Linked DNA regions of Drosophila melanogaster. The protein of the gene in region 1 purifies or fractionates together with the protein of each later gene. This does not show direct contact. Each region holds a gene or a part of one and is shown on either strand. Other genes may lie near its edges.

Region 1 (3,934 bases):
CACAAGAAAAACAACAAAGCCTAGTCCAAACAAAGCGTGTGTTCAGCTAAACTTTTCAAGGGATTTTAAGGAGCGTGGATCAAAGTTATCAAAGTTAAATGCTAATGTTCCAAGAGCATCCTAGATTTAGGTTGTACGAATATTATAAGAACCTTAAAAGTACATTTTTTTATTCTATCATAATTTTGATTCGTCGTACGCCATATTTAATCGCAGTAATTTATGTGCAAAATGATCGGTATATATGTAATTAAATGCTTAACATTGAAATTTCAGCTTGGCGACCCTTATTCCCCAATTTCGTGGAGCCAATAGCAAAAGCTTGCTCTAAATAGATTTCCCCGGTTTCGAGGAGTTGTGGTCCACCCTCCGGGAAATGGATTTTAAAACGGAACATGGAACACGGAGGCCTGTGGAAAACAGGTTAAGCTCCCCGATTGATTTTCTCTCGTGCCGCCGACGCATCAATTACGCTGGCCTGGCATTAATTATCGTGTGGCGTATGCATTTGCTAGGCTTACCTTATGCCCGTTATGCCTCAGGGTTGCCATGGGTTCGCAGTGGAAGGGGTGGCGACCCCAGGAAGAGATGGGGCCTTCTTCCGAAGCGGGGTTAGGACCGCTTATCGTTGCTTGCCTTTTAATTTTTATTGCTTTTGGCGTGCAGGAGCAGGAGGGGGAGCGCAGAGCGCACCCCACAACTGTTTGTTCAACGCTCAACATACTGAATATGCTATTTTCGTGTTCATATTCCACTTGCATCACAGTCCCCGGATAAAGACCCGGGCGACACTCATACACACCCAGAAGCACTGACAGAAAACTGGGAAGTATCTCGCATTATTGTTAAGCTATAACAGCGCTTTGCTATGATCAGTTTTGTAAACTTAACACAACCACGAACTGGTGCAAATGAGGTAATTCCCCATATTGGACATGGTTTCTTACAGTGTAGAATTGCAGCTGATTTGTGCTTTTTCTTTCTTCCATTCGTTAAACACTCCTGTGATTGGGTCAATTGTATTCGTTGTTCTTTATGTCGACTAGATGGCCGAAGAAAGCGGAGTATTGGTATTTACGGTTAATTGACGAATTTGTAAACAAATAATCAACGATTAAGTGCAGTGCATCTTGGCTATCTTCCTTTCCCCTTCATTCCCCCTTATCTACGCTATTGCCACTTCCTTCGTTGCACTACATGCGGCTTTCGAGATTTGTGTGCGTGTATGGATGGTTCTCTCTAACTCTATTCCTCTCCCTTGTCCGCCTGCGTGGAACTCCGGAAGAGGTAGAGAGCAAGAGGAAGAATAACAATAATAATTACAAACACTGCAGCGAAAGAAGTTGCAGCACAAAGGGAAAGGCAGAGAGGCGGGCTCTTCTTACCTCTCTTTTTTCTGGCTGCTGTACTATACTTGCACCAACTAGATTTTGTATTCAACAAATGCAGAATATGTTTCTAACGCATTCGGAAAGAGAGCACACACTGCATAGCCACCGGACTCACACACTCGCACTCAGGCTGCCGCTTTATAGGACAACAAAAGTAGAAAGAAATTCACGCAGGCCGGTTAACGATCAATATAAATGCGCGAACTTGGCTTAATGTCCTTTGTCCTTAACTAGGGGTTTTCACGGAAACGGAAGAAACGAAAAACAAACCCAAATAAACTGAACCGACACAATGAAAAAATGGACTGGCTAGTGATGGATGCTAGCCTCGCACGATAGTATCGATATAACCTCTAGTTGTAATTGATAAGTGTAATCGAGTTAACAGTTCCGATAAGATTACGATATTGGTTATAAGAAGTTGAATTTTTTTTACGGTTATTATAATTCCATGTATAAAACAGCACTTATCAGCTGATCCCAAAACTTTTCATCGAGTTAAAGCGGTCGCTTAGCCTTAACACTGAAATGTGCTCCTTGGAAACAGGGCATCAAAACTGACTATCGTCAGTGCAAGTGCATGTACGATATATCGATTAAAACGTAACTGAATAAGCCGATGTCAAACATAATGTTGTAAATAAAATCGAATCATATTATTGAAAGAAAAACATCATTCCACATGCCCATCCATATTTTCAATTAATAAAAAATATTCTCAGTCCAGAAACTATGTTACGAAAAATTACTCTGCACAAAACGACACTGATCGTGGCGGCAGACGGGTTTGTTCTGCCACCATTGTTCAACATTCATTCTTTTTTTCCGTTCAAGTTTTAGGAGAGAGAGCAGAGTAAAGTTTAGTTGTCACACACATCTGTGTGAGTTTTAAGCTTAAAAAAAGTTCAAACGCGGAACGCTCCATGTCCGCTTGATACACCGATCGAGAACAAAAAAGCGTAAATATTTTGTACAATGTAATTGTACTGAATGTGGCAGTAAATAAAAAAAAAGACGGACTATGGTGATATCTTGTGTGCACTTACACATACATACATACGACGAATTTAATTATTGGCAGAGCTCTCGCATCTGACTTTAACTCCATAAAATACATATATTAATATTTAAATATAGCATATTTTGTGTATATATGTACAAGAATATCTTACCATTTTAACTGTGATACACCGATCGAGAAGAAAAAATCAAAAAAAATAAATATTTTTTTACAACGAGACTTCTTTTCGTGGAAGTGAATAAGAAAAATGAGGCTGATATCATGTGTACTGTGTAAGTGCAGTTATGCATATATGCATAATATGTATACACATATTAATATTTAAATATATCATATTTTGTGTATATATGTACAAGAATATCATACCATTAGTTTTGGAAAATAATAAATATAAAATAACTTTGGTTTTCCCAGAACAACATAATTGTTTAATCAAAATTGGGTTGTGGTCAAATATGGGGCCAGGCCACTCAGTCACCAGATCCACATCTCCACTTTTGTAATTAGGATCATCAGGATCAGATGAACCGAATGAAAATCGAATTACCACAGAATGCAGCCGTACCTAACAATGAATTTGGAATTAAAATGCCTTTCATAGCTGTTCGATGCCCACTGCTAGAAGCTAAATACAAGCTTTACAACAGAATGTATGTATGTACATACAAATCAACATCACCCAGTATGACAAACGAGGAAAAATATGTGGACTATCTTTGTGTTGTCAATTAAAGTTTGGTTCTCATTTATCATTTGTACAATATACTACCATACCATTTAAGTTCTTTTCATTGGTTTTGCTATTTTCAATTCCAACTACGGCAAAAAACATCTTGGCAAAGGCGTCCTTTCTTGTGTCCTTTGCAGATAAATGAAAACTCTTTTGGTTCTTCGGATATCAACTGTCATACTTGTTGTGCTGGTTATTCAAAAATCATATGCAGACATTCTCGAATGCGATTATTTCGACACTGTCGATATTTCGGCAGCTCAAAAACTACAGAATGGATCGTACTTATTTGAGGGGTTGCTCGTTCCGGCCATTTTGACGGGAGAATATGACTTTAGGATTCTCCCGGACGACTCGAAGCAGAAGGTGGCTCGTCACATAAGAGGATGTGTGTGCAAGCTGAAGCCCTGTGTCAGATTTTGCTGCCCTCACGACCATATCATGGATAATGGTGTCTGCTACGACAACATGTCCGACGAGGAGCTGGCTGAACTCGATCCCTTCCTTAATGTGACTCTTGACGACGGGTCGGTGTCCCGCAGACACTTTAAAAACGAACTAATCGTCCAGTGGGACCTACCGATGCCGTGTGACGGAATGTTCTACCTAGACAACCGCGAAGAACAGGATAAGTACACGTTGTTCGAGGTTCAGTTGTCTAATATATTCATAATGAACATATTTGGTTTACTTGGTATTTTCTAATTCTAGAACGGAACTTTCTTTCGCCACTTTGACCGTGTGACTCTTCGCAAGCGGGAATACTGCCTTCAGCATCTTACATTCGCAGAT
Region 2 (3,934 bases), on another chromosome or scaffold:
CTTTAAATCTTTTTGGCAGGACTTACATTTAATTTCATTGAGCTCTCATAAAAAAACGATATACTATAAACTATATCATATAAAAGAATTTAATTGCAATAATATCCGTTTGCTTTTCAGATTAACCTACGCCTCATTCTTGTTAGTGGTAAAACAAAAGAGTTTATTTTTAGCCCTTCAGATTCCGCAGGTGATATTGCACAAACAGTATTTGATAATTGGCCAGAAGGTGAGTGAATTTAGTGTTAAGTTTGTCGGCGAATGATTTTTAATCACTAACGATTAAGTATGTAAGCTACGTAATACAAATAGAGTGAAATATACATATTTCTTCTAAATGGCATGCTATTGACCCTTTCGCGTGAACTGCATTTATTTTGAGAACGCTTTAATCATAGTCACAAGGATACAAGGATACAACCCACGAAATATTTAATATTTATGGCATCTATTGGATATTTCAAATAAATGCGACTTTTGAAGTTTGTTTAAATATTGTCAGCTTGTTGGCCTCTAAAATCAATTCTTTCTTAGTTGTTTTGCTTTTAGAGTTAGACTTTTGATGCGAAAACCCATGTAATACATTATTGTGCATATATCTTGCAGATTGGACCCACGAAACTGTGTCGAAAGCCGAAATCTTGCGCTTAATTTATCAAGGTCGTTTTCTTCATTGCAATGTAACCTTAGGAGCACTGGGACTTCCATTAGGCAAAACGACTGTTATGCATTTAGTGCCACGTGATAATTTGCCAGAGCCCAATTCACAAGGTAGGTTTTCAAAAAAAAAAAAAAAAAAGAAATATGGTTTCAATTATAAAGAGCTGCTCAAATTTAAATTCGCAATGCATACGAAAAACATCTTACTGAATTTTCCTCCTCTTTTAGATCAAAGACAAAATAGTAAAGGCGGTTCTGGACGATGCTGTTCGACAAATTGCTCTATTTTGTAACTAAATTATTATATAATAGCGTAATATTTAAACTAATTTGCATTAAAAGAAAAAAGAAAAAAAAAAAAACACCCACAACCGAAATAAAAACAAATATGAATGTATAAATTACATTTTTGTGCAGTCAGAAGTATATTTATTAAACTATAATAATGTATGTCTGGATCAACAAGGCGCTTTGTTTCAACTATTAATGTACATACAATATATATTTTATATATATACCACACAGGAATTCATGAGCATGTGCAAAATGCGTATACTCTGTATTAAAGTTGCTAGACTGCATATTTATAACATGTAATATACGAATACAATGCTAATTGCTTTTAGAAACCGGACTTGTTAACCTAATTAGAGAATGGGTAATTACAACACTTATTTCAAATATGTCGAAAATATTGAAAACTAATTATGTGCAAGAATAAGTAATTTTCCCATTGCGTTCTGCTTTTAAGTGTGCGTCTACCGAAAAACTAAATAAAATCAGCAATTACTTGTCAGATCGATTCTTTAATGCGTTAAAGAATATTAAAGAAATTTTTGTTCTGTATATATACACATTTAATTAGAACTTAAGTGTTTTCTTCTGTTAAGTTTTAAAATATTATCTGTAAAGTCTAACTTAAAGTCAATGATAAATAAATAATCTAATATATCCTTAGCTTATCCTATTTTGGGTGCATTGGTGGTTATTTGATTAATTAGCCTAGAACTAAAAACAAATTTCAAGGAAAATTGGGGAATATTTTTTTTAAGTTGATGGTTTAATGTAACAATTTTTCTTGAAATGCTTTATGCAAGGCACGTTAAACAATGTCTGCTTAATTATTTGTGTAGGCATGAATAAGTAACAAGCTTCGTTCTTTCGAATAAAACAGTTTGGCATATCCATATTTATTAGGGTTTTTCCCAAAGGAAGAAAAATAAGTAAATTAGATTTTTAAATATTGAAAAGTTTGAGTTTGGATATCGATAACAAATGTTACTAACAGTGTGTATGTTCAATAACAGAAGTCACAGTCGTCGTCGCTATCTTGACGCGCGTAAGCTAGTATTTAAGGTATATGTGCGACAATCGACGGTATATTTCTGACTTAACTCTCAAAAACTAGTTGGCCACACTGACCGGATTCAGAAAGGGAATATCTTATATATTTTTTGTGTAGCGTGAATATATTTCGAATAAACCGATCACAATGACTGCCTGGAGAGCTGCCGGAATTACGTAAGCATTGTATAAGTGCCTGCCACACCAGCTGTGTTGTGGCAGCATTCTCATGCAAATAAAAACGCCTTTGCTGCCCGATTACATAACATAATTAATCCAAATATTACCGATTGCAGCTACATCCAATACTCCAACATCGCCGCTCGCATTTTGCGCGAGTCCTTGAAGACGGGACTGCGTGCGGATGCCGCCAAGCGCGACGCGAGCCATGTGAAGTTCACTCCCTGGGCAAATGGCAAGCCAGCTCGTACGTATCATAATACTTTAGACGGCCAAATAGCAGCCATTATATAAATTAACTCCGGATAATTCGAAATCCAAGGGGAAACCGTTATCAATGTGTTATTAGGAATGTTTCGAAGTCATCCACAAGTGGTTTCCACACGGTATTCTACCCAAAAGTTTCGGAAAAAAGCCCCGTTTCGAAATGGCAATGTGAAAAATACCGAAAAATGAACGGTTCACTCGTGTTCCCACTTTACTCCGAAAATGTTGCCAATTTACAGGCGTAATATCGCGTGTAAAAACTGTTCCCATCTATAGATATTCGTATATTATTGCATATATCATATATATTTGCAATCTGTTTAAATCCTGATCATCAACATTGAAGCGTTCATACTCATCCAAACCATTTCTAAAACTTTAATTTCAAAATTTTCGTAACTTATTGGAATATCGAAACAAAATTAGGCAAAATTGCTTACCATTCCTTCAAGACAAACGCTCCATAAAGTAATAGAATTTATGTTTCATATTGCGTCATATTTGAATATATTTTTCAGATGAAAGGGCTTAGGTGTTCCATCGTCAAATTAATAATTTAAAAACTGGCGTAAGTGCCTGCCGCGGCAGACAAAACCCAAATTATCCCAGCGTTCGCATTAAACTCAACGACAGTTTATGTATCTAACTTTGTTCCCAAAGTTTCTAACTACGCTTACAAGCTGATCTGCATGCAAATGCGATGTGTTTACATATAATATAATGTTTATATTAATATACATATATATATCCCAAAATTGCCCGCCCCAAAAGTTTACAAGCGACCAACTATTAACTATTTCTTTGTGATGAAAAACTATTATCCAAAGCAAATGCTGATTATTGCCATTTTTCTGTCCGCAGAGCGTCAAACCCAATCGGAATCCTAGATGCTTTTCAGTGGCCACTCGAGAATGATTCGCAACAACTAAGATCCGCCGAAGCTGCAATGTTGTAAAATCATGAAAAATAAATAAAATTAAATAAATGTAATTTATTTAAACACGATGATTTTAATTGTTCTTAAATGTGGCATTTATTTGGGCGTTCCGTTTAGAGATCGCGACCGATGAAACGGACTTCTAGCAAAGATTTAAATATAGACTCAATAGAATATTGTAATTTTGAAAAGAACTATTGGTCAGGTTCACCAGAAGCCTTTTAATTGGGATCAGTGATAGGTTTCTTGCTATAATTTTGTCAACGCATATTTGTATAGAATGATTTTATACACATAATGCTGAACCAATTGAATTGTTACTTATATTTTGCGCTTTAAATATACACATATAGACATTATTTATGTTAATTATTATCCAGTTAGTTTATATTTTAATTTAAATATATATATATATATATTTTTAAGGTAGAGTATTTTGGATTATCCTTCAAAAATTATCGATTTGCTACCACTAAGACCGATTAAATTGCTACCGAAGTGCTATTTCAATTGCAGCATGTTGATTTGTGTGTTGATGATGTCGTG

What was found.
Region 2: the proteins of mth (region 1) and sun fractionate together in Drosophila melanogaster (co-fractionation; one study listed by BioGRID). This does not show direct contact.

Annotation. Positions count from the first base shown.
Region 1 is NT_037436.4:345,231-349,164, reverse strand, and holds the start of mth (methuselah), read left to right. Parts: upstream 1-2,207; 5' UTR 2,208-2,350; intron 2,351-2,826; exon of another isoform or gene 2,827-3,279; 5' UTR 3,280-3,283; coding exon 3,284-3,790; intron 3,791-3,853; coding exon 3,854-3,934. UniProt on the Drosophila melanogaster protein: Involved in biological aging and stress response. Essential for adult survival. Required in the presynaptic motor neuron to up-regulate neurotransmitter exocytosis at larval glutamatergic neuromuscular junctions (NMJs).
Region 2 is NC_004354.4:15,847,383-15,851,316, reverse strand, and holds sun (stunted), read left to right. Parts: upstream 1-2,058; 5' UTR 2,059-2,152; coding exon 2,153-2,181; intron 2,182-2,300; coding exon 2,301-2,431; intron 2,432-2,969; coding exon of another isoform or gene 2,970-2,983; exon of another isoform or gene 2,984-3,019; intron 3,020-3,312; coding exon 3,313-3,338; 3' UTR 3,339-3,458; downstream 3,459-3,934. Other genes in the region: UBL3 (ubiquitin like 3), read left to right, coding at 121-229, 607-771, 889-953. UniProt on the Drosophila melanogaster protein: Activates the G-protein coupled receptor mth in vitro, leading to increased intracellular calcium ion levels.